7 linked regions of the Macaca mulatta genome follow. The protein of the gene in region 4 purifies or fractionates together with the protein of the main gene of each other region. This does not show direct contact. Links are inferred from orthologs where the notes say so. Each region holds a gene or a part of one and is shown on either strand. Other genes may lie near its edges.

What was found.
Region 1: the proteins of RUVBL2 (region 4) and MAX purify together in Homo sapiens (affinity purification with mass spectrometry; 3 studies listed by BioGRID and IntAct, with this or other methods). This does not show direct contact. The link is inferred for Macaca mulatta from reciprocal best matches to the Homo sapiens genes RUVBL2 and MAX.
Region 2: the proteins of RUVBL2 (region 4) and ZNHIT2 purify together in Homo sapiens (affinity purification with mass spectrometry; 5 studies listed by BioGRID and IntAct, counting the BioPlex papers as one, with this or other methods). This does not show direct contact. The link is inferred for Macaca mulatta from reciprocal best matches to the Homo sapiens genes RUVBL2 and ZNHIT2.
Region 3: the proteins of RUVBL2 (region 4) and SHQ1 purify together in Homo sapiens (affinity purification with mass spectrometry; 4 studies listed by BioGRID and IntAct, with this or other methods). This does not show direct contact. The link is inferred for Macaca mulatta from reciprocal best matches to the Homo sapiens genes RUVBL2 and SHQ1.
Region 5: the proteins of RUVBL2 (region 4) and DKC1 purify together in Homo sapiens (affinity purification with mass spectrometry; 5 studies listed by BioGRID and IntAct, counting the BioPlex papers as one, with this or other methods). This does not show direct contact. The link is inferred for Macaca mulatta from reciprocal best matches to the Homo sapiens genes RUVBL2 and DKC1.
Region 6: the proteins of RUVBL2 (region 4) and POLR2B purify together in Homo sapiens (affinity purification with mass spectrometry; 3 studies listed by BioGRID and IntAct, with this or other methods). This does not show direct contact. The link is inferred for Macaca mulatta from reciprocal best matches to the Homo sapiens genes RUVBL2 and POLR2B.
Region 7: the proteins of RUVBL2 (region 4) and ACTR6 purify together in Homo sapiens (co-immunoprecipitation; 7 studies listed by BioGRID and IntAct, counting the BioPlex papers as one, with this or other methods). This does not show direct contact. The link is inferred for Macaca mulatta from reciprocal best matches to the Homo sapiens genes RUVBL2 and ACTR6.

Annotation. Positions count from the first base shown.
Region 1 is NC_133412.1:138,199,677-138,203,974, forward strand, and holds the start of MAX (protein max), read right to left. Parts: upstream 2,801-4,298; 5' UTR 2,629-2,800; coding exon 2,593-2,628; coding exon of another isoform or gene 2,389-2,592; intron 1,858-2,388; coding exon of another isoform or gene 1,831-1,857; intron 1-1,830. UniProt on the Homo sapiens protein: Transcription regulator. Forms a sequence-specific DNA-binding protein complex with MYC or MAD which recognizes the core sequence 5'-CAC[GA]TG-3'. The MYC:MAX complex is a transcriptional activator, whereas the MAD:MAX complex is a repressor.
Region 2 is NC_133419.1:9,260,525-9,263,503, reverse strand, and holds ZNHIT2 (zinc finger HIT domain-containing protein 2), read right to left. Parts: upstream 1,755-2,979; coding exon 540-1,754; 3' UTR 501-539; downstream 1-500. Other genes in the region: delta(14)-sterol reductase TM7SF2, read left to right, coding at 1-150. UniProt on the Homo sapiens protein: May act as a bridging factor mediating the interaction between the R2TP/Prefoldin-like (R2TP/PFDL) complex and U5 small nuclear ribonucleoprotein (U5 snRNP).
Region 3 is NC_133407.1:136,344,080-136,348,262, forward strand, and holds the start of SHQ1 (protein SHQ1 homolog), read right to left. Parts: upstream 2,801-4,183; 5' UTR 2,726-2,800; coding exon 2,583-2,725; intron 1-2,582. UniProt on the Homo sapiens protein: Required for the quantitative accumulation of H/ACA ribonucleoproteins (RNPs), including telomerase, probably through the stabilization of DKC1, from the time of its synthesis until its association with NOP10, NHP2, and NAF1 at the nascent H/ACA RNA.
Region 4 is NC_133424.1:61,470,578-61,473,380, forward strand, and holds the end of RUVBL2 (ruvB-like 2), read left to right. Parts: intron 1-863; coding exon 864-983; coding exon of another isoform or gene 984-1,002; intron 1,003-1,374; coding exon of another isoform or gene 1,375-1,400; coding exon 1,401-1,530; intron 1,531-1,952; coding exon 1,953-2,067; intron 2,068-2,195; coding exon 2,196-2,221; 3' UTR 2,222-2,303; downstream 2,304-2,803. Other genes in the region: LHB (lutropin subunit beta), read right to left, coding at 2,444-2,686. UniProt on the Homo sapiens protein: Possesses single-stranded DNA-stimulated ATPase and ATP-dependent DNA helicase (5' to 3') activity; hexamerization is thought to be critical for ATP hydrolysis and adjacent subunits in the ring-like structure contribute to the ATPase activity.
Region 5 is NC_133426.1:161,062,818-161,066,317, forward strand, and holds part of DKC1 (H/ACA ribonucleoprotein complex subunit DKC1), read left to right. Parts: intron 1-1,328; coding exon 1,329-1,449; intron 1,450-3,500.
Region 6 is NC_133410.1:76,509,928-76,513,906, forward strand, and holds the start of POLR2B (DNA-directed RNA polymerase II subunit RPB2), read right to left. Parts: upstream 2,801-3,979; 5' UTR 2,751-2,800; coding exon 2,732-2,750; intron 1-2,731. UniProt on the Homo sapiens protein: Catalytic core component of RNA polymerase II (Pol II), a DNA-dependent RNA polymerase which synthesizes mRNA precursors and many functional non-coding RNAs using the four ribonucleoside triphosphates as substrates.
Region 7 is NC_133416.1:107,551,678-107,555,604, reverse strand, and holds the start of ACTR6 (actin-related protein 6), read right to left. Parts: upstream 2,801-3,927; 5' UTR 2,766-2,800; coding exon 2,698-2,765; intron 1-2,697. UniProt on the Homo sapiens protein: Required for formation and/or maintenance of proper nucleolar structure and function. Plays a dual role in the regulation of ribosomal DNA (rDNA) transcription.

The sequences.
Region 1 (4,298 bases), on a different chromosome or scaffold from region 4:
TTTTCAACAGACTAGGCCCCAAACATGAAGGATAAAAGTAAACGAAAAAAACAAATTCAATTTTCAAATATATGCATAAGTATATGAGAATACTTCAAGGATAAATAAAACAAAATAAATTATCTTTAATGACTATTACCCAGGGATAATTTGTAAGATTTCTGGAACAACTACATCCCCGGATTTTAAGAAAATACGAGCTCTCAATAAATAAGTTTTCTTAATGCCTATTTGCTTAGACAACCTGCATAATCTTTGCTTGCTCTAATGAAGAGCAGGTACAACTGAGATGGCTTGCCTTTATCCTGTGGTTATTAGGTTCTTATACCAGAGGTATCAAAGTGACATCCTGCAAATTCTAACAAGCCCAAACAGTTGTTCCACACATCATTTTAAAAATCAGAAAAATAACATAACGCTTTGGATTTCTAATCTTTCTTAAAAAATAGGAAGATCAGCTGGGCGCGCGGTGGCTCACGCCTGTAATTCCAGCACTTTGGGAGGCCGAGGTGGGCGGATCACGAGGTCAAGAGATCAAGACCAGCCTGGCCAACAAGGTGAAACCCCGTCTCTACTAAAAATACAAAAATTAGCTGGATGTGGGGGTGTGCGCCTGTAGTCCCAGCTACTCAGGAGGCTGAGGCAGAAGAATCGCTTGAACCCAGGAGGCGGAGGTTGCAGTGAGCCGAGACAGCACCATTGCACTCCAGCCTGGTGACAGAGCGAGACTCTATCTCAAAAATAAATAAATAAAATAAAATAAAATAAAAAATAGGAAGATCTGGCAATACTGACCCTTCACTCCTACATAACAAACCACTGGAATTCAGTAGTGGCTGACTTTTTAGGAGAGGCATTGCTCTCCAGTACCCAAGTCCTCACCTCTTCTTTCTTTATTATTTATGGCCCTCATGGGCATTCAAATTTTTTACCCCCATTCTATACACTTCCTACTGTTCCCAATTTCAAATATTAGAACTCTGATATACTTATTTCTCTTCCCCTCTGATTCTGATTTATTCTATATGTTTTCTTTTTTTCCCCTCTAATCTATTCATGAAAAACCCATATTACTGTCTCAGACTCCAAAGACATGAAATTAGTGCATATCTAAATCCACAGAACCATCTACTGGGAACATTAATATCAAAACCCTAAGAAATTATTGATAACATTATATGGTCTCATCCATCACCTTTCAGCAAAGCTCTTCCTGCAATGCCACTTTTCTTCAGCTATTTTTTAATTTTCTTTATACCTCTTCTTCAAATACAGAGAATCAGACCATAATAACTTTATGTGACACTTTGATGATGCAACGTTTGGCTCCTCTACATTTCCAATTTTTGTGTTAGAATACCACATTGTGCTAGATTCTACAGGTCTAGAGCAGTCACATGACTTGGTTAAAGGCGATTATTGCATGTGGCTTCAGCTTCACATAATTATACAGATATGGTTTAAAATCTACTTGTTCCTAAATAAATCTTCTGACCACTTTGCCCTGAAATAATACTACCACTGACTTCAGAATGCTGCATTTCTCATTTCCACTTACATAGCGGCAGCTGGATCCCCTATTTGAAAACTACAGAACAATTCAATTCTTTGCATACAGCTCCTCTTACTGAACTTATCACCTGAGAATCTAGAATGATAGGATTTGCAACTCCCCCACCCTCCAGAACCAGGCCCCACCTCACCTTAGTGGTTAACATTAGTGATTTACTACAATATTAAAAGTAACAGTACGATCTCTTTTTCTCTCTGACCCCAAAAAGGAATAGAACTGAACGGAAATAAAAATGAAATGGAGAGTAGGAGACGTACCGCAGATTGAAACCTCGGTTGCTCTTCCTGGAATAGGAGAGAAAAAAAAATAGAAAATATAGAAGTTATTTTTACACTTAACATTCAATAATAAGAAAGAAAATGCCGGCGGCAGAGGAAGCGGAGGGTGGGGAGTCAGCCCGACACCCCTTCCTCCCTCCCCACCCCTTGCCCCCACCCTTCCACCCTCGGCGGGATCCGGTAGCGGGATAGAGGGGTCCCGAGCGCCGCCCCTCCTTCCGGGATCCGACCCGGGCCAGAGGGGTCTCGAGCACTGTCTCCTCCCTGCAGACCCAGCTCGGGCATCTAGGCACCCCCAACCCCTCTCCGCCCTTCCTCGCCCCCCAGGATCCGCGGGTCACGGGAGGAGAGGATCGCGTTCCGAAGGGGCAGGTCCTGAACGCCGTCCCCTTCCCCTGGATCCGGACAATGGGATCCCGGGCGCCCCCCATCCTTGTCCCCCGGATCCTGAGCCCGGGAAGGTGGGAGCGGGAGGCCGCAGCACCCTCCCCCACGGGAGAAGGTGGGAGTCCCAGAAGCCGCGTGTCTTCCCCCCACCTCCAGTCCCAGGAGGCCGCTCCGGCCAGGAGCCGGAGGGGAGCGAGCCGGGAACGCGACGGAGGCAGTCCTGGCCCCGAGGGAAAGGGGAAGGGGAAGGAGGCGGCGGCGGCCCGGCCCCCTCCCGCCGTCGCCCCGCTGAGAGCCCCGGCCGCTGTCCCCGCCTGACAACCCGCACGGGAAGGAAGAAGCCCCAGGACTCACGTCGCTCTCCACCTCGATGTCATCGTTATCGCTCATTTCCTACAGCCCAGGGAGCGGCCACTGCAGCGGCGGCGGGGAGGGGAAGGGGTGAAGGGGAGGGGGAAGTCACCGACAACAACAAGCCGAGTCCCCCCACACACACACTCACTCACTCACTCACTCGCTCTCTCACTCACACACACACACAACACGGGCAAGAACCACCTCCTCACTGCAGCACCGGATCAACGGCGGCACGCACGCCCGGTCGGCCCCCGCCACGTGACCAAGCTCGCAGCGCTGGGGCAGCCGAGACTTGTAGTTTTTGTCCCTTTGACAGACGGCCCGGGTAACTCCAGAAAAACTACAAATCCCGGAAGAAACCGCATCCAGGCGTCGCCAGCCAGGCTGGTAGACGGAGCCCAGGGCGCCTGCGCGTCCCGGAAAGGGGGCGGGGAGAGCCGCGGCGCGGCGCCTCCTGGGAGTCGTAGTCCGCAGACCGCGAGTTGTCAGGAGATTTTCCTCCAGAGGCGGCAGAGGAGGCTGCTGGGAAGACAGGACACGTGGAGGGAGCTGGAGCTCCTGGAGCCGGGCACCGTCGGCGCGCTGAACGCCGGGCCCAGGGGACTGGGTGGAGTCTCTGGGGGAGTAGCCGGCTGTCTAAATAATGCTGCCTCTTTTTGGTGTGACTGGTTATACTTTGTCTTCTTGATGCGAAGTGGTTCTGTTTTGCGCCTAGGGGCGTAACCCGCCCTGGAGGGAATCCGGCTGCGGCGGAACAGGGGGTGCGGCTCGGGATGCCGGCGCGAACCCTCGGGAGCTGGTGGGGAGGTATCAGTGGCAGGTGTTTCGTGGTGTTACCGGACAGGCAGGATGACCGACCTCGCCGGGCGACCGCTCCCAGCCGCGAGAATCCTGTATTCATTTATCCGGGAGTGACCATCCTCGCTACTCAGCTACTCGCGTGAGGTTCCAGCATTCACAGAACGCGAACCCTCAACCACTGTGGGCGTGAAAGTAAAAGCCCTTTAGAGTTTGTTGTAGCCCAGGCAGTCTAGGCAGTATCCCAGCTCAGAGTACCATAATTAAGATCGCAAAAAGGATCAATATGGGAAACTTGTGCAGTTCCCTGTCCAGTTAAAATCATATTTATATACTGTGGCATGAAGTGTAATCACATCCATTCCACCAATATTTTTTGAACACCTAACATGTGCCACAAGGGGATGCCATAACGGATAAGACCAAAACCATCCCTGCCTTAGGCCAAAACCATCCCTGCTTTTATGCATGCAGCTCACAGCTGTGCAAGCAAACGTGTCTGCCCTGCCGCCATTTTAAGAGTATGCAACAAGTCCCATGGGAAGGAAAAAAACATAAGAAAGGCACTTTCCACCTTGAGACAAAGTACCCATACTACTCCTTTACATCTGGTCTCCAAAATGAATGACATCTTGAGCTTTTCCCATGAGTTACTGATTCCCGGATGAAAACCGTATTATCCCTGACTTTTGAATGTGGAAATTTGGGGATATGTCACACACAATTCTTGTGACATGCATTTTTCAACGTGAGAGTGTCATCCATGCTGAAAAGACAAATGTAAATGTGGTAATTTTTCCTTTACATTTTTTTCCTTTAATATCGGTTGTCTTTCCCTCCCTCCCTCCCTTCCTCCCTTCCTCCCTTCCTTCCTTCCTTTCCTTCTCTCCTTCTCTCCTTCTCTC
Region 2 (2,979 bases), on a different chromosome or scaffold from region 4:
CTGCTGCCCTACTTCTACCTCCTCTACTTCACCGCGCTGCTGGTGCACCGTGAGGCCCGGGATGAGCGGCAGTGCCTGCAGAAGTATGGCCTGGCATGGCAGGAGTACTGCCGGCGTGTGCCTTACCGCATCGTGCCCTACATCTACTGAAGCGGCTCCACCACCCCAGGTGGGGGCATATGCCCACTCATCCACCAGCACACCCAAGACCAGGAGCCTGGACACACTTGGGACTCAAGGGCTTGTACCCCACCCAGCCCTGAGGATGAACAGCCTCAGAGAAGAGGTGGTTTAGAGCAAGGAAAAAAATGAAACCAGTGACCAAAATCGGAGATGCTCTTCCTCCTTTGGATAAACATTGGGAACCATTGGTGCACTTCTCTCCCCTAGGACTGGCTGGGTCAGCACTGATCAGGGAGAAGCTGAGCAGTGGCTTGTGGGCCCAGGACTCTGGGGGCCTGGTAGGACAATAGCTATCCTTCAGAAACAGGCAACAGGGCTGACCACTCACAGCTTTATTAATGACCAGGGTCCCCAGTTCAGCCAGGGAGCTCCTCAATGAGAGTCCTTGGGGCAGGTGGCACGGGGCCTCCCCAAAGCCGCTCCAGCTCCCCAGTGAGGGCGGCCACCTCCTCGGCTGCCACAGCATGGGCTTGGTGAGCCCTGGCGCAATCTAGAGCCAGGGGTGTGAGGGCCGCCTCATTTTCATTGGTCCAGGCCAGGAGGAATTGGCACTTTTTCCGGGCCCGGTAAAGATGATCTCGCTCTTCTCTAAGCACAGCCTGTTTCCGGGCACGGCCCAGGGTCTTTGCCAGGTCTCCCAGTGCTGCCAGCGTGTAGCCTTTCTGGTTGGTCGGGCCCTCACCCAGCAGGATGCGAGCGACCTCGTGCATAGCCCCTCGTGTGCCCAGGGGCCCAGGCGGGTGTTCGCCTGCTTCCAGCACGTGGGCTGCGGCCTGCAGGGCTTCTTCCGCAGAGGCGAAGACTTGCTGGGCACCCAGGGCTCCGGAAACGCCGAGCAGTGTAGCACAGAAGTCAGAGAGCAGTGCGTCGTCACCGCCGTGATACAGGGCGAGAGTATGCGCGTAGGCGAACAGCACATTGGGCAGCTGGAAGCGCACGAGCGGCGAGACTGGGCCGCGGCTCAGGCTGACCAGCGTGGGGATGCGGGTGGGTATGGCGGGCGTGCAGGCCCCCGGGACATCTCCAAGAACCAGCTCGGCAGCCGCGAGCTCCGCGGCGAAGGCATCGTTCATAGATTCCGGCGGGGTCCTCGCAAGGGCGGGCTCCAGCCCCGCGGCATCACTGCCCGGGACATCATCCAGCTCCTCCAGAAGCCGCCACGGTCCGGCTCCGCGCTTCCACCACCACGGCCGCCATGGAGGAAGCAGCCGCCCGGCCTCACCACGGCTCAGCAGCCGCTCGAAGGCAGTTTTTTCGGCCGGCGCCAGCCGCTCCCACAGTCCCGAGAGGCCGCCGGGCGCCGGGCCGGGGCTAAGGCCTGTTTCCCCAGGCTCGTCCTCGGTATCGCGTTGCTGACGCAGCCGGCGTAGGGCGCTTGCCAGGCGGCTGGGCGAGGCGCTGCGGCCGCGGAGCTCTCCCAGCACCTGGTCACGGTAGAAGTTTTCTGCGCAGGTGCCATGCGTCCGGTAGCAGCGCAGCGAGCAATAGGGCGCATTACAGCGAGGGCAGGTGTAACGCGCGGGCTGGGCCTCCCCCGCCGGGCAGAAACCACAAGGCCCGACCGGCTCCATAGCAACCGGCACCGCGATCTACCTGCGAACGCACGCCGGCGATAGTTCCAAACTTCCGGGGCTTATTCAATTACTTCCGGCTCACCGCGGGGTCGACGACGGTCTGTCGTTTCGCAAAGCTCCCGAGGATTCTGAGCAATTTCCGCCCACGCCGGAAAGCCGAGCCCCACCCCTTTCCCTAGTAGGGTGAGAGCAGGCCCAGACGCCGGGCGTCAGGTACGAGCCCCGCCCTGTGCGATGACGCAAGGAGCGGAAAAATGGGTCTGGCGAGCGCTCCGCCGGTGCCACCTCTCCCCCTAGCGGTCACACCAAAACGTGGCCCGATCATCTAAAGAGAAAACCCTCTCTCTTTAGCTCTATAATGCGCTGTGGCAGAAATCCACTTTACTAAACACCTACCCTGGGCCACTAATTGTGCCAAGCCTCAGAAAGGCGATGCATCCCTGCGCTGTACACAGACAAATAAAATGCACTAGAGGACACAGACGAATAAAAGGGCAGTTGGGATCGGATGCGGTGGCTCTCACGCCGATAATCCCAGCACTTTGGGAGGCCAAGGCGGGCAGATGACCTGAGGTCAGAAGTTTGACCACGGCCTGACCAACATGGAGAAACCCCATCTCTACTAATACAAAATTAGCCGGGCGTGAGGGACGGGTGCCTGTAGTCCCAGCTACTCCGGAGGCTGAGGCAGGAGAATCATTTGAACCCAGGAGGTGGAGGTTGCAGTGAGCTGAGATCGCGCCACCGCCCTCCAGCCTGGGAGCCTGGGCCACAGAGAGGAACTCCACCTCAAAAAAACAAAAAGCAGTATTTAAGAAATATTTGAGGCCGGGCGCGGTGGCTCAAGCCTGTAATCCCAGCACTTTGGGAGCCTGAGATGGGCGGATCATGAGGTCAGGAGATCGAGACCATCCTGGCTAATACGGTGAAACCCCGTCTCTACTAAAAAATACAAAAAACTAGCCGGGCGAAGTGGCGGGTGCCTGTAGTCCCAGCTACTTGGGAGGCTGAGGCAGGAGAATGGCGTGAACCCGAGAGGAGGAGCTTGCAGTGAGCTGAGATCCGGCCACTGCACTCCAGCCTGGGTGACAGAGCGAGACTCCGTCTCAAAAAAAAAAAAAAAAAAAAAAAGAAATATTTGAGCTCCTATTTTTCCTCCAAAACTGACTCTTCATTAAGTATCTTATTAAATACCACTATTCATCCATCTCATTAAGTGCAG
Region 3 (4,183 bases), on a different chromosome or scaffold from region 4:
TATTTTAAAAAACGTCTATGGCTGCCTGATATTGCCTAGATAATTTAAACTCATCAGAAGGGCATCTCAGGCCCACTCCGTATCATTCCAAACTTGAAATTTGAGCTTCCTTTCCTCCCATGGCCCTCCCCCTTCTTTCCCATTAAATACAATTAAAAACAAAAACACCTGACAGTCCCAAACAGCCCAGAGCCTTTAGTCCCAAGGTTTCCTCAAGCTTCAATACATTTTCAGAATGAAAATCCCTCTAAGCCAGAATAAGGAGTCAGTTTATGGATGAGTTTGTTATAATGGTTACAAACACTAACTTTAGTGTCAGAATCTGAATTAACTCCCAGATCTGCCATTTACTAGATGTGTAACAACCTTCTTTGTACAAGTTAATCATTCTTCAAGAATCATAAATCTCTCTTCTGTAAAGGAGGGAAATAACAGTAACTATCCATGAGTTACTATGAGCATGAAATGAAAATGCAAAGAGCTCAGTGGTTGGCACAATAGGTGAGCATTCAGAAAATAGCTATTATTACCAGCTCCCTTCCCCTAAACTCTAAAAGCCTAGAGTTCAATTCTTACTGCATAGGAAATCATATTTGCTTACAGGGTGCCTCCCCAGCTACACTCTCCGTTCTTCAAGGAGAGGGACCAGGTTTTATTCGTCCTTGGTATGCCACAGCAAACTGTATTTTTTTTTTTTTAAGACATAGTCTTGCTCTGTTACTCAGGCCGGAGTGCGATAGCACAATCTTGACTCACTGCAATCTTCGCCTTCCAGGTTCAGATGATTCTCTCACCTCAGCTTCCCAAGTAGCTAGGACTACAAGTGCGTGCCACCGAGCCCAGCTAATTTTTTTATATTTTTAGTAGAGATGGGGTTTCACCATGTTGGTCAGGCTGGTCTCAAACTCCTGACCTCAAGTGATCTGCCCACCTTGGCCTCCCAAAGTGCTGAGATTACAGGCGTGAGCCACCACACCTGGGGGCAAACTGTATTTTCAAAGAATGCCCATCTCACAGCACTCTTCCCAACCATGAAGGTCTATGTCCCCTCCTCTTAAAATTCAGCAGGCTCTGGGACTGTTTTGATGAATACAATAAAGCAGAAGTGACACCGGAATTAGACCTTCAACATATGAATTTGGGGGCAAGAGTTGGGGGGGTGCCCATAAATAATCCATCCACGGCAACGGGTAAATAATAAAACCTCATTGTAATACTCTCCTAATAACAAATGAGATAATCCGTATAAAGCACCAATCTGGAGTAAAAATTCAATAAATATTTGCTACCACCATAATCTTCCTATTCTTCACATCCTGGCTTAAATATCGCCTCCCCAGAAAGGCTGTTCCTGACTACTTTATAAAATATGGGCCCCTTTTCATTCTATATCATGCACTTCTTTCTCCTCATAGCACCTGCCACAATTAGGTAGACGGCTAGTTTATTGTTTTCCTCTCCCCAGTGTAAAGTACATGAGGGCAGAACTTTGTCTTGTTCAGCGCAATAATCCCAACACTGAAACTCAATAAACAAACTAAAGAAATAAGTGAATTAAGAAACTGGAAACTGCAATATATTCAAATAGGTACGTTACACGGTATAAGGGAAATCCGAGCAAAACTGGTTCAGGAACAGCGAAAAAACCACCTTGACTGGTGGAGAAGGTTTGTATCACAAAAGTACTTGGGTGGGAAAAGCAGGCTGCAGCTGCACTTGAGAAAAATTAGGAGGATGGATAAAGAGAAGGACAAAAGATTGGCAATGCTTTACGATGAATATGTAGCAGCGGGTTCTGTGGAATGGGGTTAATAGCAGTGCTTATCCCTAAGCAACACTGTCAAAGTTAAATGAGATACGGCATTACAAAGCACTTAACGGAACTGCTTGTCCACCACACTGCGGGTGATCAGTGTTAGCTGCTACTAAGGTTACGATTCTGCAAGGAGAATAATTTAAACAGATCAAGTACTGACGGCCCCTCACGAAGACTTGGGGGAAATAACCACACATCAGGGGCAAAACCAAACAGAGAAGCAGCAGACAGCAGGGAAGCACGAGAACTAGGCTAATATGGTGTCAAGAGGTCCAAAAAAGGTAAGAATTTCAGGAAGTAGGGAGGGGACAGACAAGAGATGGATCAACAGAAGGCTGCCTGAGCAAAGTTAAAAGGACCGATGGGTTGGGAAGTCACGGGGATGTCAGCGCGCGCCGTTCGTAGGGAGGGAGAGACTGGGAGAGCGAACGCGGAGTGAAAGAACAGAACAAGTCAAAATGGAACGAGAACTAGGGCGACAGGGCAGAAACGGGCAAGTGACACGGTCCAAACGCCACTTTTTCAAGTGATTCCGCAATCCTTTGATGTGGGATTTAAGAAAGCTTAAGAAGGAAAAGGGCTTCTGCAGCATCTAAAACGCACCCCTGGAAGAGGGAGGGCATTGCCCTGTCACCAAGAGAAGCTGTGGAAACGTCGGGAAATGGCATTCGCGCAATCGAGAACTGCTCTCTCGACCTTGCATTCTCCCTCTAAAGCCGCTATCTAACGAATGCGCCTTTCCTGCGGCCAGGCACCCAGAACTCGCCTGAGAAAGTAGGGCTTGGCGTAGAACTTGAAGTCGGACCCCTCAAAGTAGACGTCGAACTCGGAGACCCGGGCGTAGGGCACGCGGATGGCGATGGTCAGGAAGTCCGGATCCTGGCTGAGGTCGAACGCCGGGGTCAGCATCGCCGCACCGGACGCAACAGCCGGCGCCACTCGCTCTCACTGCCGCCGCGTTCCCGCCACGCAAACTCTACAATTCCCCACGCGCAGGAACCCGCGGTGTGAGCCACAGAGCTTCCGGCTCGAGGCGGAAGTGCTCTCGCGTGGGGCAGGAAGTCCCGCCCCACGCCGATCTCCACGGAGACGGGACGCCGTTCGAGAAGAGGTGGAACTTTCGAAACCGCCGGGAGGAGAAAGGACGTGGCGAGTGGTGCCTGGGCCCAGGCATTGGACCGACCGGATGACTAGCAACCAAGCCTTTTGCGAGGTTTTTAGAGATGATTTTAACAACACTGGCTTGGCAGGTGGACAGACGTGCGTTTGAATCCCTTCCTGGCCACAACTTCCCAGCTGTAAGACCTTGGGAAAGTTACAAAACCTCTCTATATCTTCTGTGAAACGAGGATGATACGAGAACCTGGCCCCATAGAGATGCTATGAGGGTAGCATGAAGTTGTGCATGTAGAACTCTAATAACGAACTTGGCAAGTTGTCAACGTTTGATGTGCTGAAGTAGTCACCGCAGTAGCCACAGCAGCACCGTTACAGTGGTTTCCCTTAGTCCTCACCTGCCTTATTAACAATTCCTCTTACACTTTCCCTTTCCTCCCTCTCTCTTTCCACTTCTCTTTTTCTGCAGCTTTCTCTCTCATTCTTAACCGCTTATTTGAAGAGTTTTCTCTTTAACAGATCATCCATCCCACTAATCTCATCTAATCCACGCTGCAAACTCTAAAGAAAACGACTCACAGAGGTTAAGAGTATATTTTATAACCATGCATTTTACAGTGATTAGAACTCAGAACGTTTGCCTCTTACACCGTGTCGGTGATTGCATTCACAAATTAAGATCCCTCTGTATTCCCCTTCTTTCCTTTTTCTCACTCTTGTCCTTACACTTGTCTGAGGACATCTTTTCTGTGTTTTGTTTTTTTTTTTTTTTCCTACTTGTCTTCCCTGTATTTTCTCCCCTTGGAGTGTGCCCCTTATACTCTCTCCGTGCCTCTCCCACTAGTCTCCCTCTTCCCCCACATATTCCCTTGGTCTTTCCACACATGTCGTTTCCTGTTATTCCACCACTAATTAGAATAATCCAGTTGCGGTATTTATTCCATGGTTTTAAGTATCAGTGGAAAGGAGATGAAAGTCATATCCTAGGACAGTGGAGATAACCAGAAAACTTCAAAAGACTTTTCAATCTCCAACTGTTTTATGATTCTAAGGAAACATTGTTGAAATTTCATTAGGACTCAGAAAAAAAAAATAACGGGCTAACATTAACTGAATACTTACTATGTGCTAGCACTGCAGCAAACTCTTTATAATGATCTCATTTTCCCTCCTGACAGCTCTATGAAGTAGGCGTTATATATTCCCTTGGCTTGCACAGGATCTCACAGTTAGTAAGTGGTGCAATGGGAA
Region 4 (2,803 bases):
CAGAGGCCGGGCGCGGTGGCTGAAGCCTGTAATCCCAGCACTTTGGGAGGCCGAGATGGGCGGATCACGAGGTCGGGAGATCGAGACCATCCTGGCTAATACGGTGAAACCCCGTCTCTACTAAAAAAATACAAAAACTAGCCGGGCGAGGTGGTGGGCGCCTGTAGTCCCAGCTACTCGGGAGGCTGAGGCAGGAGAATGGCGTGAACCCGGGAGGCGGAGCTTGCAGTGAGCTGAGATCCGGCCACTGCACTCCAGCCTGGGCGACAGAGCGAGACTCCGTCTCAAAAAAAAAAAAAAAAAAAAAAAATAACAGAAACACACAAATGAAAACACACATAGACCCAGATTATATATATATTGATTGACGAAAATACTGTGAGTAAAGGCTCAAGAGAGCCTAACCCTGTATTCCACTAGGAGCAGTGGCTCAGGATCGGCTAATTGGAGTGTTCACGGTGACTCTCTAGAACCTCACTGCGGTGAATAAGGGGAACTGACTGTATACCCTGGTACCAGCCCTGGGCGGGCCCCGCTGCAACAGGGAACAAGACAGGTTCTGTCCCCTCCTTTGTGAAGCTTCATGTCGAGCACGGGAGTGGGACCTTGATCCAGTAATCCTCGAGGCAGAGAGCTAGCTTAAAGCAGCCCAGCTCTGCGGAAAGGTGTCCTTGGGGGACTGACAGTTGTGGAAGGCTGCGTCATCAGGGGGTGATGTCATCATGTGACAGGAGACACGAGCTAAAGGTTAAGTGGTGTTGGGCCCACTGAGTGGGTGGTGATGGGAGGTGGGAGTGTTTCCAGCAAAGGGAATGAAAAGGGAACATCCCCCTGACAGCCCCCTCTTTCTGCCTCTTCCTCAGAATCCGGGGCACCAGCTACCAGAGCCCCCACGGCATCCCCATAGACCTGCTGGACCGGCTGCTTATCGTCTCCACCACCCCCTACAGCGAGAAAGACACGAAGCAGATCCTCCGCATCCGGTGCGGGCAGGACCAGACCGTGCGCCTGGGAGGCGGGGCTGGGGTCTACCCTGTTTGACAAATGCCGACACTGAGGTCTGGCGGACTGGCATGGTGGCTGGGCCTGCAAGAGAGAGGGCTGATCTGGCACCCAGACAGTGGCCGCCGATCCGGGAGCAGGAGCCATGGTGGGAAAGGGAGGCGAGGTACCCGTGACCGGTGTGGGGGCCAGCGCCCTGGGCGTGGTCAGGAGGCCTAGGTTTTAGATCCAGCCCAGCCCCTGTCTCCGTGGCTCTTCTAGCCTCAGCATTCTATGGTTCTAAGATGCAGGCGCCACATATTCCCAGTGGGGAAGGACCAGAGGGTTGCTGTGGCCACTTCTGCTGCAGTCAGAGGCTGGGCCCTGGCTGAGCCACCCCCGTCCCCCACTGCTTGCAGGTGCGAGGAGGAAGATGTGGAGATGAGTGAGGACGCCTACACGGTGCTGACCCGCATCGGGCTGGAGACGTCACTGCGCTACGCCATCCAGCTCATCACGGCTGCAAGCCTGGTGTGCCGGAAACGCAAGGTCAGCCTGCCGAATTAGCCAGCAGGGCCAGATGGCGGCAGTGAGTGACGCACTACTTCAGGGGCTGCCAGGGTTCCAATTTCAACCTAGGATGTACATTTTCAGAGGCAGGGAATTTTCATCCCTCAAGTTGTCTTCTGTATCTCCCCGCCTGGCCTACAGTAGGTGCTCAGTAAATCTCTGTTGACTGTAAGTAGATGCTGTTAGGTCCACCTTACAGATAAAGAAACTGAGGAATGAAGAGGCTGGGCCCACAACCAGGAGATGGCCAGGCAGGTTTTGAACCCAGGCGATCTGGCCAGAATGCCCTCCCCTCACATGCCACCCTCTGCTGCCTAGAGCATGGAGGTGACATATGCTGGGGTCTGTGCCGTGAGCCTCACGGAGAGGGGCCCAACTCAGGACCCGCCCTCCCCCTCCAGGGTACAGAAGTGCAGGTGGATGACATCAAGCGGGTCTACTCACTCTTCCTGGACGAGTCCCGCTCCACGCAGTACATGAAGGAGTACCAGGACGCCTTCCTCTTCAATGAACTCAGTAAGAATCCCTACCCTGCACCTGCACTGCCAGAGCCAACCTCGGGGAGGAAGAGGGAGCTCGGCCTAGAAGGCTCAGGCCCTGCCCCCTGGGCCACACTGACCATGTGGCCTTCCTTCTCCCCACAGAAGGTGAGACCATGGACACCTCCTGAGCTGGATGTCATCCCCTGTCCCCACCCTGTTTTCTACCAGAGTTCTGACACTGTGACTTTGTATAAAATGGTTTGAAGCTGCACCCACTCTGTGTGTGGTTGCCCTGAGCCCACAGAAAGACACCTCCAGAGTGCGCACTGAGAAGCCTTTATTGCGGGAGGAACGGGGTGTCTGCTGGCTCCAGGAGTCAGGATGGACTTGGAGGGCTGGGGGGAGGGTCTTTAGAGGAAGAGGAGGCCTGGGAGTTGGGGGTGGTCACAAGTCAAAGGGTGGTCCTTGGGACCCCCGCAGTCAGAGGTGCTGCGGTGGCAGGGTCCACAACGACAGCTGAGAGCCACAGGGAAGGAGACCACGGGGTCCACGCCAGGCAGGCAGCCAGGGAGCTGGATGGAGTCGAAGCGCACCTCGCGGTAGGTGCACACCACCTGGGGCAGGGGCAGCAGGGCCGCCTGCAGCACCCGCATCTGGAGGATGTGTGGATAGGGGAGTGAGCATGTGCCTGGGGCCAGCGCCTCCGCTGACCTCCCAAGCTGCCTCCAAAGGTCCCAGACTCAGGAGTCCAGGAAGCCCTCTGTTCCCGC
Region 5 (3,500 bases), on a different chromosome or scaffold from region 4:
GACTCCGCCTCAAAAAAAAAAAAAAAAAAAACATAGTAAGACCCTGTCGTCACAAAAATAAAAAATAGCCAGGTGTAGTGGCACATGTCTATATTCCCATCTACTTGGGAGGCTGAAGTGGGAGAATCGCTTGAGCCCAGGAGATCAAGGCTGTGAGCTGTGTTTTTATGATGATCAGAGAGTTGGCCTTTTATAAATTAAAGCATACTCTCTTTTCTCTAACTTGAGGGATAAAAATTTCTGGATATTTAAAATGTTTGTAGTTGGTAATTATTTATATTCAAATCTTGTACAGATGTTTGCATATTTTGTATGTATATACGCTGTAATAAATACTGAAAGATGGCACCATAATAGTTGAAAAAACTCAGTCACAAAACAGTGGACAACATAAATGTGATAACCTCTCCTTATCAAACCATTGGCTTCTGGGTGAATGTAAAGGGAGGGTCAAATGTGATCAGCAAAAGAGATCTAGGTGAGTGGAGATGGCATGAGGCAGATGGGTGCCTTGGGCACCATTGAACTTCTGGAGAGGAAGCCTTAAGTTGTACCTACTGATCTATAAATTCTGCACCAAGACTTTTGTGTGATTGGTTCAACCGGCCTCAGTAATCTTGTTTTCAAGTTCTTTAGGAGCCTCTTATTGCCTGGATCTCTAGTAAATCTATTCTTTCTCCTGATAAGGAGGAGAGAGGAGCAGTTAAGGAATGCCAAGGCTATTTTTATGTTTAAAATGAAAATACCGACCAGGTGCAGTGACTCACACTTGTAATCCCAGCACTTTGGGAGGCCAGGCCAGGCAAATTGCTTGAGCTCAGGAGTTTGAGACCAGCCTGGGCAATATGGTGAAACCCTGTCTCTATTAAAAATACAAAAATTAGCTGGGCGTGGTGGCGCATGCCTGTAATCCCAGCTACTTGGGAGGCTGAGGCACGAGAATCACTTGAACTCTGTAGGTGGAGGTTGCAGTGAGCTGAGAACGTGCCACTGCACTCCACCCTGGACGACAGAGGGAGGTTCTGCGGGAAAACAAAAAATAAAAAAATAAAATGAAAATACCTGTGAGTCTCTAGAACCTGAAAACCTGAAAGTCTTCTTTACGACTTTTAAGTCGTGTGTGTAAAGTACAGAGAGTGGTGCCTAGCACAGTGAGGTGGCTGTTGCTCTTCTGAGTCCCTTCATGCCCCTTGCAGCTAGTGGGCTATCAGTGCCATCCCTGTTTCATGGTGTCAGACCCCACCCCCTTGTTGTCTTCCTTTACTCTGGTGTGGGAGTGGGGTGGAAGGCAGCAGCTGGGCCCCTCACACATGGTGCCATCTCTGCAGGTAAATGCTATCTGCTATGGGGCCAAGATCATGCTTCCAGGTGTTCTTCGATATGAGGATGGCATTGAGGTCAATCAGGAGATTGTGGTTATCACCACCAAAGGAGAAGCAATCTGCATGGGTAAGAGGGGATGTTTATTTTTTAAATTGTAAATGTTTGTGGTTACATAGTAGGTGTATATATTTATGGGGTTCATGAGATGTTTTGACACAGGCATGCAATACATAATAATCACATCGTGGAGAATGGGGCGTCCATCTTAAGCATTTCTCCTTTGTGTTACTAACAATCCTATTTTACTGTTAGTTATTTATCTATCACCTTAGTTATTTTAAAATATACACTTAAGCTATTGATTATAGTCACCCTGTGACTATAATCTATCAAATAGTAGGCTATCAAATAGTAGGTCTTACTCGTCTTGTTCATTCATTTGATTTTTTTGTTTTTGTTGTTGGTGTTTTGTTTTTGTTTTTGCTTTTTAAGAAGACAAGAGTCTTGCTCTTTCGCCCAGACTGGAGTGCAGTGACGTGACTTTGGCTCGCTGCAACCTCTGCTTCCCAGGTTCAAGCAATTCTCGTGACTCAGCCTTCCGAGTAGCTAGGATTACAGGTGCACACCATGACACTTGGCTAATTTTTTGTATTTTTAGTAGAAATGGGGTTTTGCCATGTTGGTCAGGCTGGTCTTGAACTCCTGACCTCAGGTGATCTGCCTTTATTTTTTTTTTTTGTACCCATTAACCATCCCTACCTCCCTGCCAGCCTCCAACTACCCTCCCAGTCTCTGGTAACCATTCTTTTACTCTTCTCTGTCCATGAGTTCAATTGTTTCGATTCTTAGCTCCCACAAATAAGTGAGAACATGCAATGTTTGTCATTCTATGCCTGACTGATTACACTTAACATGATCTTCAGTTCCATCCATGTTGTTGGAAATGACAGGATCTCTTTTTTTTTTTAAGGCTGAATAGTATTCCATCGTGTATATGTACCACATTTTCTTTATCCATTTATCTGTTGATGGGCACCTCGGTTGCTTCCAAATCTTGGCTATTGTGATCTCTTTGATAACACTAATTTCCTTTATTTGGGGTATATACCCAGCAGTGGGATTGCTGGATCCTATGGTAGCTCAGTTTAGTTTTTCGAGGAACCTCCTAACTGTTCTCCATAGTGGTTGTATCAATTTACCTTCCCACCAACAATGTACAAAGGTTCCCTTTTCTCCACATCCTTTCCAGCATTTGTCATTGTCTGTCTTTTGGATATAAACCATTTTAACTGGAGTGAAATGATATTTCATTGTAGTTTTGATTTGCATTTCTCTGGTGATCAGCGTTGAGCACCTTTTCATATGCCTGTTTGCCATTTATTTATCTTCTTTTGAGAAGTGTCTATTCAAATATTTTGCCTGTTTTTTGATTGGATTATTAGATTTTTTTCCTATAGCGCCGAGTTCGTTATATATTCTGGTTTTAAATCCCTTGTCAGATGGGTAGTTTGCGGATATTTTGTCCCGTTCTTATGCATATGGATATCTAGTTTTCCCAGCACCATTTATTGAAGAGACTGGTTTTTACCCAGTGTATGTTGTTGGTACCTTTGTCAAAAATGAGTTCAATGTGGCTGTGTGGATTTGTTTCTGGGTTCCCTATTCTGTTCCATTGGTTTATGTGCCTGTTTTTATGCCAGTACCATACTATTGTGGTTACTGTAGCTCTATAGTATAATGTGAAGTGAGGTAATGTGATTCCTCTAGGTTTGTTCTTTTTGCTTAGGATCACTTTGGCTAGTTTGAGTCTTTTGTGGTTCCATGTAAAGTACCAGTGTTTTTTAACTTGTGAAAGCTTAGCTACTGTTGGATTGTCTCTTAAGACTTTAAATGCTCTGCACCCTCTTAGCGAATGAACCTTAGAGCTATTCATTTAATGGGTCCAATATGTACCAGAAGTAAGCATGTCATCAGGATTCCTTAGCTCTGTGAGCAGGCAGGCCAGCCATGGCCTATGGACAGCAGCAGAAAAGGAATCCTTAAAACTTCAAAGGTTCTGTGGCCGCAAAGGGAGTGTGCATGCCATTCCTATAGATGTCTTGAGCTGCAAGCCTGTTATGTGTATTGTTAGGTGCTTTGGTTAGGTGTTTTTTAACTTGAGAAGTTTAACATCATTT
Region 6 (3,979 bases), on a different chromosome or scaffold from region 4:
CTAGAAGAAAAAGGAAAAAATGAAAAGTTTAACTTGTTTCCATGTGGATGACAGAAATCTGACATTTTCACATAGTGGCTGAAAACTGATGAGGACATTATCTAATAAACATTTCAGAGGACATGGGCAAGAATAAAATGTAGGCTCACTGCTAAAGCAACTATGATAAACTCTTTTTTGCACGGGATCATTATACATTGCAAAACTAGTACAAATCACCACTATGGTGGTCACTTGGCATCATCTAGCAAAATGTTAAAGGTGTGTATCATTTGACGTGACAATTTTATATGTAGAAATGCATCCCACAGACATACTTGGGCAAATTATATGTACAAGATTATTCATTTACAGCACTGAACCCGAAAATGACTAGAAATAAATCAAATATCCATCAAGAGACTACTTAAGTTATGGTACATCCACACAAACTAAGTAACTGGCGGAGTGGGCGAAGGGGCGGGGGCGATGCTTTCTGTGTACTGATACAAAAATCTAGATACATTAAGCAAAATCTAAAAGTGGAGAAAAGTGTGAATATTACTTTCTGTCTTTAAAAAAGGAGAAAAATCCCATTTATATTTGCTCAAATATGCATAAAGAAACTGTGGAGGCTGGGCGCAGTAGCTCACACCTGCAGTCCCAGCACTTTGGGAGGCTGAGGCAGGTGAATCACCTGAGGTCAGGAGCTTGAGATCAGCCTGGCCAACGTGGAGAAACCCTGTCTCTACTAAAAATACTAATATTAGCTGGGCATGTTGGTGCACGCCTGTAATCCCAGCTACTAGGGAGGCTGAGGCAGGAGAACTGCTTGAACCTGGGAGACGGAGGTTACAGTGAGCCAAGATTGCACCACTGCACTCAAGCCTGGGCAACAGAGCAAGACTGTCAAAAAAAAAAAAAAAAAAAAAGAAACTGCGGAGTGATTAAAATCTATTGTAACAGTAGTTACCCACTGTGGAGAGTTCAAACTGGGCAGATGGTGGGTAAGAAGGAGACCTGACACTTTAATTTTTTTTTTTTTTGAGACAGGGTCTCACTTTGTTCTTGGCTCACAGCAGTGTCAACTTCCAAGGCTCAAGCGATCCTCCTGCCTCAGCTCCCCAAGTAGCTGGGACTATAGGTGAGCACCACCACACCCAGCTAATGTTTCCATTTCTTATAGAGAGGGGGTCTCCCCTGTTGCCCAGGCTGGTCTTGAACTGCTGAGCTCAAGCGATCCACCCACCTCAAGCTCCCAAAATGCAGGGATAACATGCGTGAGACACTGTACCAGCCACCCCACTTTAACGTTTTTAAACTTTCTGGCTTGTGAGCTGAGAATGTATTACCTAGCCAAAAATTATGCTTTAAAAAATCTTTTTTTCGAATTTTTCTTCTACTGAGATAACAGTTAAAAAGAACAAGTACTATAATGATGCTAATAAATTTCTAGAACACAAGATATAAATGAGACAGAAGTTTAAACAGCTTTAAAAGTTTAAGTTTTTGGCTGGGCACAGTGGCTTACGCCTGTAATCCCAGCACTTTGGGAGGTTGAGACAGGCAGATGGCTTGAGCTCAGGAGTTTGAGAACAGCCTGAGCAACATGGCCAGACCCTATCTCTCAAAAAAAATTTTTTAAAAAGTTTAAGCTTTTGCTTCAATTTTTTCCATCTCATTTATCAGAAGTAGCTGAGGGAATAAAGAGAGGAGATGTAAGGGGTGGCCAAGGAATTGAGAGCTAGAAGAAAATAAGATTTGCATTAGTAGATATGGAGAATAGAAAAGGCAGCTATGAAAATACACTAGATTCAACTAAGAATTCTGTTTTTTTTTTTTTTTTTTTTTTTTTTTTCAAGACAAGAGTCTTACTCTGTCATTCAGGCTGTGGTGCAGAGGCGCAATCTCAGCTCACTGCAACCTCTGCCTCCTGGGCTCAAGCGATGTGGCCTCAGCCTCCCGAATAACTGGGATTACAGGCGCGCGCCATCACACTCGGCTAATTTTTGTATTTTTAGTAGATGCGGGATTTCCCCCATGTTGGTCAGGCTGGCCTCAAACGATCTGCACGTCTCGGCCTCCCAAAGTGCTGGTGGGAGCCATCGCGCTCGGCCACTACTAAGAATTCCATATGCGCAAAGAAACAGATATTATACATTGGTCCAGTGTAGCAGAATACATATCATCTGAGAACTGTGACATTGTGAGAACTGTGACACTGTGAGAAGAGGAAATTTAAACGCCATCCTTTAAGACAATTTACTTTGACTTACAAACAGCATGAAGAAATGTCAGACTAAACCGAGTCCTCCCACCCTCCCCCCCGATATTCTCTGTCCCGATATATTTCCAGGGCCTTCCACACTGCCTGACACAGGCTGACACTCAACACTTCAGCTATTCAGTAAGTCGACTGTGGCTTTAAGGAAAAATTTTAAAGGGTGCTCTTTGCTTCAAATTCAAAACCACGGAATTTATCTTACGGTTCTGCACGCTACTTCACTACAGGAAGCGAGGATCAGATCTAAGGGAACGAGAAAGTGCAGAGCAGCAGTGAACCTAACCGGGAACATTAACGCTGTGTTCCCTGCACCCTCTGCCTCTCCCTACCCCAGTTTCGTTCCCGGCCTGAAAGGTGTGGGAACAAGGCTAGGGACTGTCCGGCCGGCGGGAGGGAAGGCCCCAATCATCAATCCAATCAGTTCCCCAAGCTTCCCTGCTGGACCGCCGTGGCATGTGTTTCACCTACCCTCATCCGCGTCGTACATATTGCCAAACGGTTCCCGAGCTCCTAACTCGAAATCAAAGACAAAAAGCGCGCAGAAGCCACCAGCGTCGGGAGCTAAAGACCAAGTAACTTCCGTCTCCGACGTTCCCAGAATACTGTGCGTCTCACACAAGAGGCCGCCCACAGGGACGCCAAAGTTAGGATCTGCGCCTGCGCAAATTGTAGGGCAAGCTTGGGCGGGAGTTGGGTTGCACACGCGCAAATTGTGGGCCGCCGCTGCCGGTGGCTGATTGAGAGGACAGCTCCCGCAATCTGCTGTCGCATCCGTCCCGTTAATGTTTTATTTCTGCTTGTTTTTCAATGTCGTTGCACAAATAACGACACCTGAAAACAAAGCCAAGTATACTTATTAATAAAAAGTGCTCGTTCTGTGAATCCGCGACATTGGGATGCTCAATTGATTTGCCTTTATAAAGACCAAAACACGAAGCAATTTTTATTTTTATTTGTTTATTATTTTTTGAAATGGAGTCTCGTTCTGTTGCCCAGGCTGGAGTGCAGTGGAGCGATCTCGGCTCACTGCAACCTCCGTCTCCCGGGTTCAAGCGATTCTCCTGCCTCGGCCTCCCAAATAGCTGGGATTACAGGCGCGCGCCACCACGCCCGGCTAATTTTTGTATTTTTAGTAGAGACGGGGTTTCACCACGTTTGCCAGGCTGGTCTCGATCTCAGGTGATCCGCCCGCCTCGGCCTCCCAAGGTGCTGGGATTAGAGGCGAGCTGCCCGCTCGCCTACCGTTCCAGCCACGCGCCCGGCCAGAAGCTCCGTTTTGTTTTGTTTTGTTTTGTTTTGTTTGAGACGGAGTTTCGCTCTGTCGCCCAAGCTTGAGTGCAGTGGCGCGACCTCGGCTCACTGCAAGCTCCGCCTCCCGGGTTCACGCCATTCTCCTGCCTCAGCCTCCTGAGTAGCTGGGACTACAGGCGCCCGCCACCACGCCCGGTTTATTTTTTGTATTTTTAGTAGAGACAGGGTTTCGCCGTCTTAGCCAGGATGGTTTCGATCTCCTAACCTCATGATCCGCCCGCCTCGGCCTCCCAAAGTGCTGGGATCACAGGCGTGAGCCACCGCGCCCGGCCCGGAAGCTCCTTTTTAAATGTGATTTATTACGGGCGGCTTGGGCTAGCAGTGAGGCGTTAAGCCTGAAAGTGAAAAAACTCAAAACGCTCATCGCTCTCTTCTGCCCATCTAGCTCAATCCTCCAGTGCCTCC
Region 7 (3,927 bases), on a different chromosome or scaffold from region 4:
GCCATAAAAATTAAGGTTCTAGCTGGGCACGGTGGCTCACGAATGTGATCCCAGCACTTTGGAAGGCTGAGGCGGGCAGATCATGAGATCAGGAGTTCAAGACCAGCCTGGCCAACATGGTGAAACCCCATCTCTACTAAAAAATACAAAAATTAGCTGGGCATAGTGGTGCGTGCCTGTAATCCCAGTTACTGGGGAGGCTGAGGCAGGAGAACTGCTTGAACCCAGGAGGCGGAGATTGCAGTGAGCAGAGATCACGCCACTGCACTCCAGCCTGGGCAACAGAGCAAGACTGTTTCAAAAGAAAAAAAAAAAAAAAAAAAAGAAAAAGAAAAAATTAAGTTTCCATGAAGCCAAAGACCTTCAATCAGCAAGATGCTATAGGGCAGGGGTCCCCAGCTGCAGGGCTTGTGGTCCGTTACCTGTCTGTGGTCTGTTGGGAATCAAGCCTTCATAGCAAGAGGTGAGCACCAGGGTGGGGAAAGCGGGTGGGGCCATGAGCATTAACATCTAAATTGCATCTCCTGTCAGATCATCCATAGCGTTAGATTCTTACAGGAGGACGAACCCTATTTTGAACTGTGCATGCAAGGGATCTAGTTTGCACACTTTTCTTTGTGGGAATCTAATACCTGAGAACAGTTTCATTTCAAAACCGTCACCCAAACCCATACACCCAACCACATGTTAAAATTGTCTTCCATGAAACCAGTCCCTGGTGCAAAAAAGATTGGAGACTGCTGCTGCTACGGGGTACAGAAATAGCAACTACGTTTTTTTTTTTTTTTTTTTTTGAGACGTAGTCTCTCTCTGTCGCCCCAGGCTGGAGTGCAGTGGCCCAATCTCAGCTCACTACAAGCTCCGCCTTCTGGGCTCAGGCCATTCTCCTGCCTCGGCCTCCCAAGTAGCTGGGACTACAGGCGCCCGCCACCACACCTGGCTAATTTTTGTATTTTTAGTAGAGACAGGGTTTCATCGTGTTAGCCAGGATGGTCTCCATCTCCTGACCTCGTGATCCACCCCCCTCGGCCTCTTGCTGTTTGCCATGAGCTTACAATCTGGTTTGGAAGCCAAACTAGAGCCATTATCAATTATACACATACAACACGACACTGGGATAATACTGTAAAAAATGTTTTATACCTGCTTATTTCACTTATAATACTGTCAACATTTTCTCTACATGTTTAAATATTCTTTGAAGACATAATTTTAAGAAGCTGAATTTGTTAACAATCTCATGGTTGTATTTTGATGTATTTAGCCAATATGCTATTCCTGATTATTTAGCTTGCTTCCCATTTTTTGGCTGCCTGTATACGATGTCTATGAATAATACAAAGCACTTCTAATTAATTCTCTAAGTAATAATAGAATTACTGTGTCGTGGCCAGGCGTGGTGGCTCACGCCTGTAATCCCAGCACTTTAGGAGGCCGACACAGGCAGATCACGAGGTCAGGAATTCAGACCAGCCTGGTCAATATGGTGAAACCCCCATCTCTACTAAAAATACAAAACTTAGCTGGGCACGGTGGCGCGCGCCTGTAGTCCCAGCTACTTGGGAGGCTGAGGCATGAGAATGGCTTGAACCCGGGAGGCAGATGTTGCAGCAAGCCGAGATGGTGCCACTGCACTCCAGCCTGGACGACAGAGCGAGACTCCCTCTCCAAAATAAAAAAAAAAAAAAAAAAAAGAATTGCTGTGTCAGCTAGGTGTGGTGGCTCACACCCGTAATATCAGCACTTTGGGAGGCCAACGCAGGTAGATTGCTTGAGGCCAGGGACTGAACACCAGCCTGGCCAACACCGTGAAACCCCGTCTCTACTAAAAATACAAAAAATTTGCCGGGCGTGGTGGCGCACGCCTATAATCCCAGCTACTCCGGAGGCTGAGGCGGGAAGATCACTTGAATTCAGGCTGCAGTGAGCTGAGATCGCACCACTGCACTCCAGCCTCTGCGACAATGATAACGATACACATTGCCAAAACGTTTTCCAGAACGGCTGTAACAATTTACATTCCTACTCAGTTTGATTTCCCTCTTTTTCAAAATAAATGAAAAAGAAGGAAAGGAGGAAGGAAGATAAGAATTTTTTTTAATGCTCTGTTAATTTGATAAAGGGAAGGCGTGACTTTAAGTTTACTTATTTATTCAAACATATATTTTATGACTATACATGTTATGAATGCCATTGTATTAATAGTACTTCTGTTTAACTGACCTTACCAACTAGGTCGGCCAGTAGGCCAGTCTTCAAAGCCTCTAGATCCTAAAACCGTGATTTTTAGACTTTTAGGGGGTCATAGAACCCTTTGAGAATCTAATGAAACCTATAATCTTGTACCCAGGAAAATCCACATACACCCAAACACGCTGCCCAGTTTCCAAAGGCTGATGAATTTTACGGACCCTTCTGTTAGGAATGCATCTCTAAAAGTCTATTTTCCTTGGCTATTTCCTCTTAAGAAATAAAACAGACATCCCACTTCCGGGGCCTCGCAGCCCAAAACTAAAACCAAAATCAATTTCAATTCAAAGCATCACAACCACCCACCCAGCTCCAACCAGGGAATCCCTCTGGCTAAGTCAGGGCCGCGCGGGGGCGTCTGCAGTTCATTGATGTCCGGAGATGAAACGTAGCACATGAAACCACTAGGCATATATATCTTGTCCCTCGGAGAAAGAAAGCACTTACGACACATTTTCATGGCTGTAACCGATTTTGGCGTTGTAAGCTCCGTTATCCAGCACCAAGGTCGTCATTTCACCACCAACCACACCGCAGCCGCCGTTGTTTTCCCTTTCCGACCCCTCTGCTCGAGCCTTTTCCGGTACTCTATGGTTTGTTGGGCGGAGCATTAGGACGCGCCTCTGGTCACCCTAGCAACGGTGAACGCCGGAAGTCGGAGATGCTAAGCCCCACAAACTGTTAGGGAGTGTCCGCTGTGCTTCCAAACTTAACCTGTTTATGTGGTGGCGAGATTTGACTGCTAAGTGCTTTCTCGCTCATTTCGTATTTGTTTTTAACTGCGCAGATTGATTTGCGCAACTTTTTTCTAATCCTGTAGAGAACCGGCTGCGTGCTGTGTGTGTGTGCTTGTGTGTGTATATGTGTGTGTCTTCCGATAGCATTCTTCAGACGGTGACATTCTTTGAAGAAAAAAGTGCAAAACCATACGCAGTAAGAAGGTCTATCGACTGCCTTGCTCTTGGACTCACATTCATACCGTCCTCTTCCCCATTCCACTTGCTCTTCAGGACGCAGCTGAGTCTTTCTCATCCAAAAATGGCTTTTGGACCGGACGCGGTGGCTCACGCCTGTAATCCCAGCACTTTAGGAGACCGAGGCAAGCAGATCACTTGAGGTCAGGAGCTCGAGACCAGCCTGACCAACACGGCGAAACCCCGTCTCTATTAAAAATACAAAAAGTAGCCGGGAGAGGTGGCAGGTGCCTGTAATCCAAGTACTCGGGAGGCTGAGGCAGGAGAATTGCTTGAACCCGGGAGGCGGAGGTTGCAGTGAGCCGAGATGGCTCCACTACATTCCAGCCTGGGCGACAGAGCGAGACTCCTGCAGTGCGGGGACTTGGCAGGTGCGGGAGGCAGGACCTGGCCTCCGGGGCGCCGCGGGGGCAACGGCCAGCGGGCGGGGGCAACGGCCAGCGGGCGAGGACAACTGCCAGCGGGCTTGGAGGGGCCGGGAGGCGACTGCAAGTCCCAGGCCACTTTGAGCGCCTGCAGGAGGAGCGGGGCGGCGGGGAGGGGGCGCCTCGGGGGCAGGGAGCGCAGCAGTGGCAGCGCGAAGGCGCGGGGGCCCGGGCACCTATGGTTGGCGCGCAGGCAGCGATACCGGGGCCGGAGCCCGGCCAGAGGAGGTCAGCGACGGCAAGGGGGAGGCCGAAGAGCCCGGGGCGGGTCCCGCGCG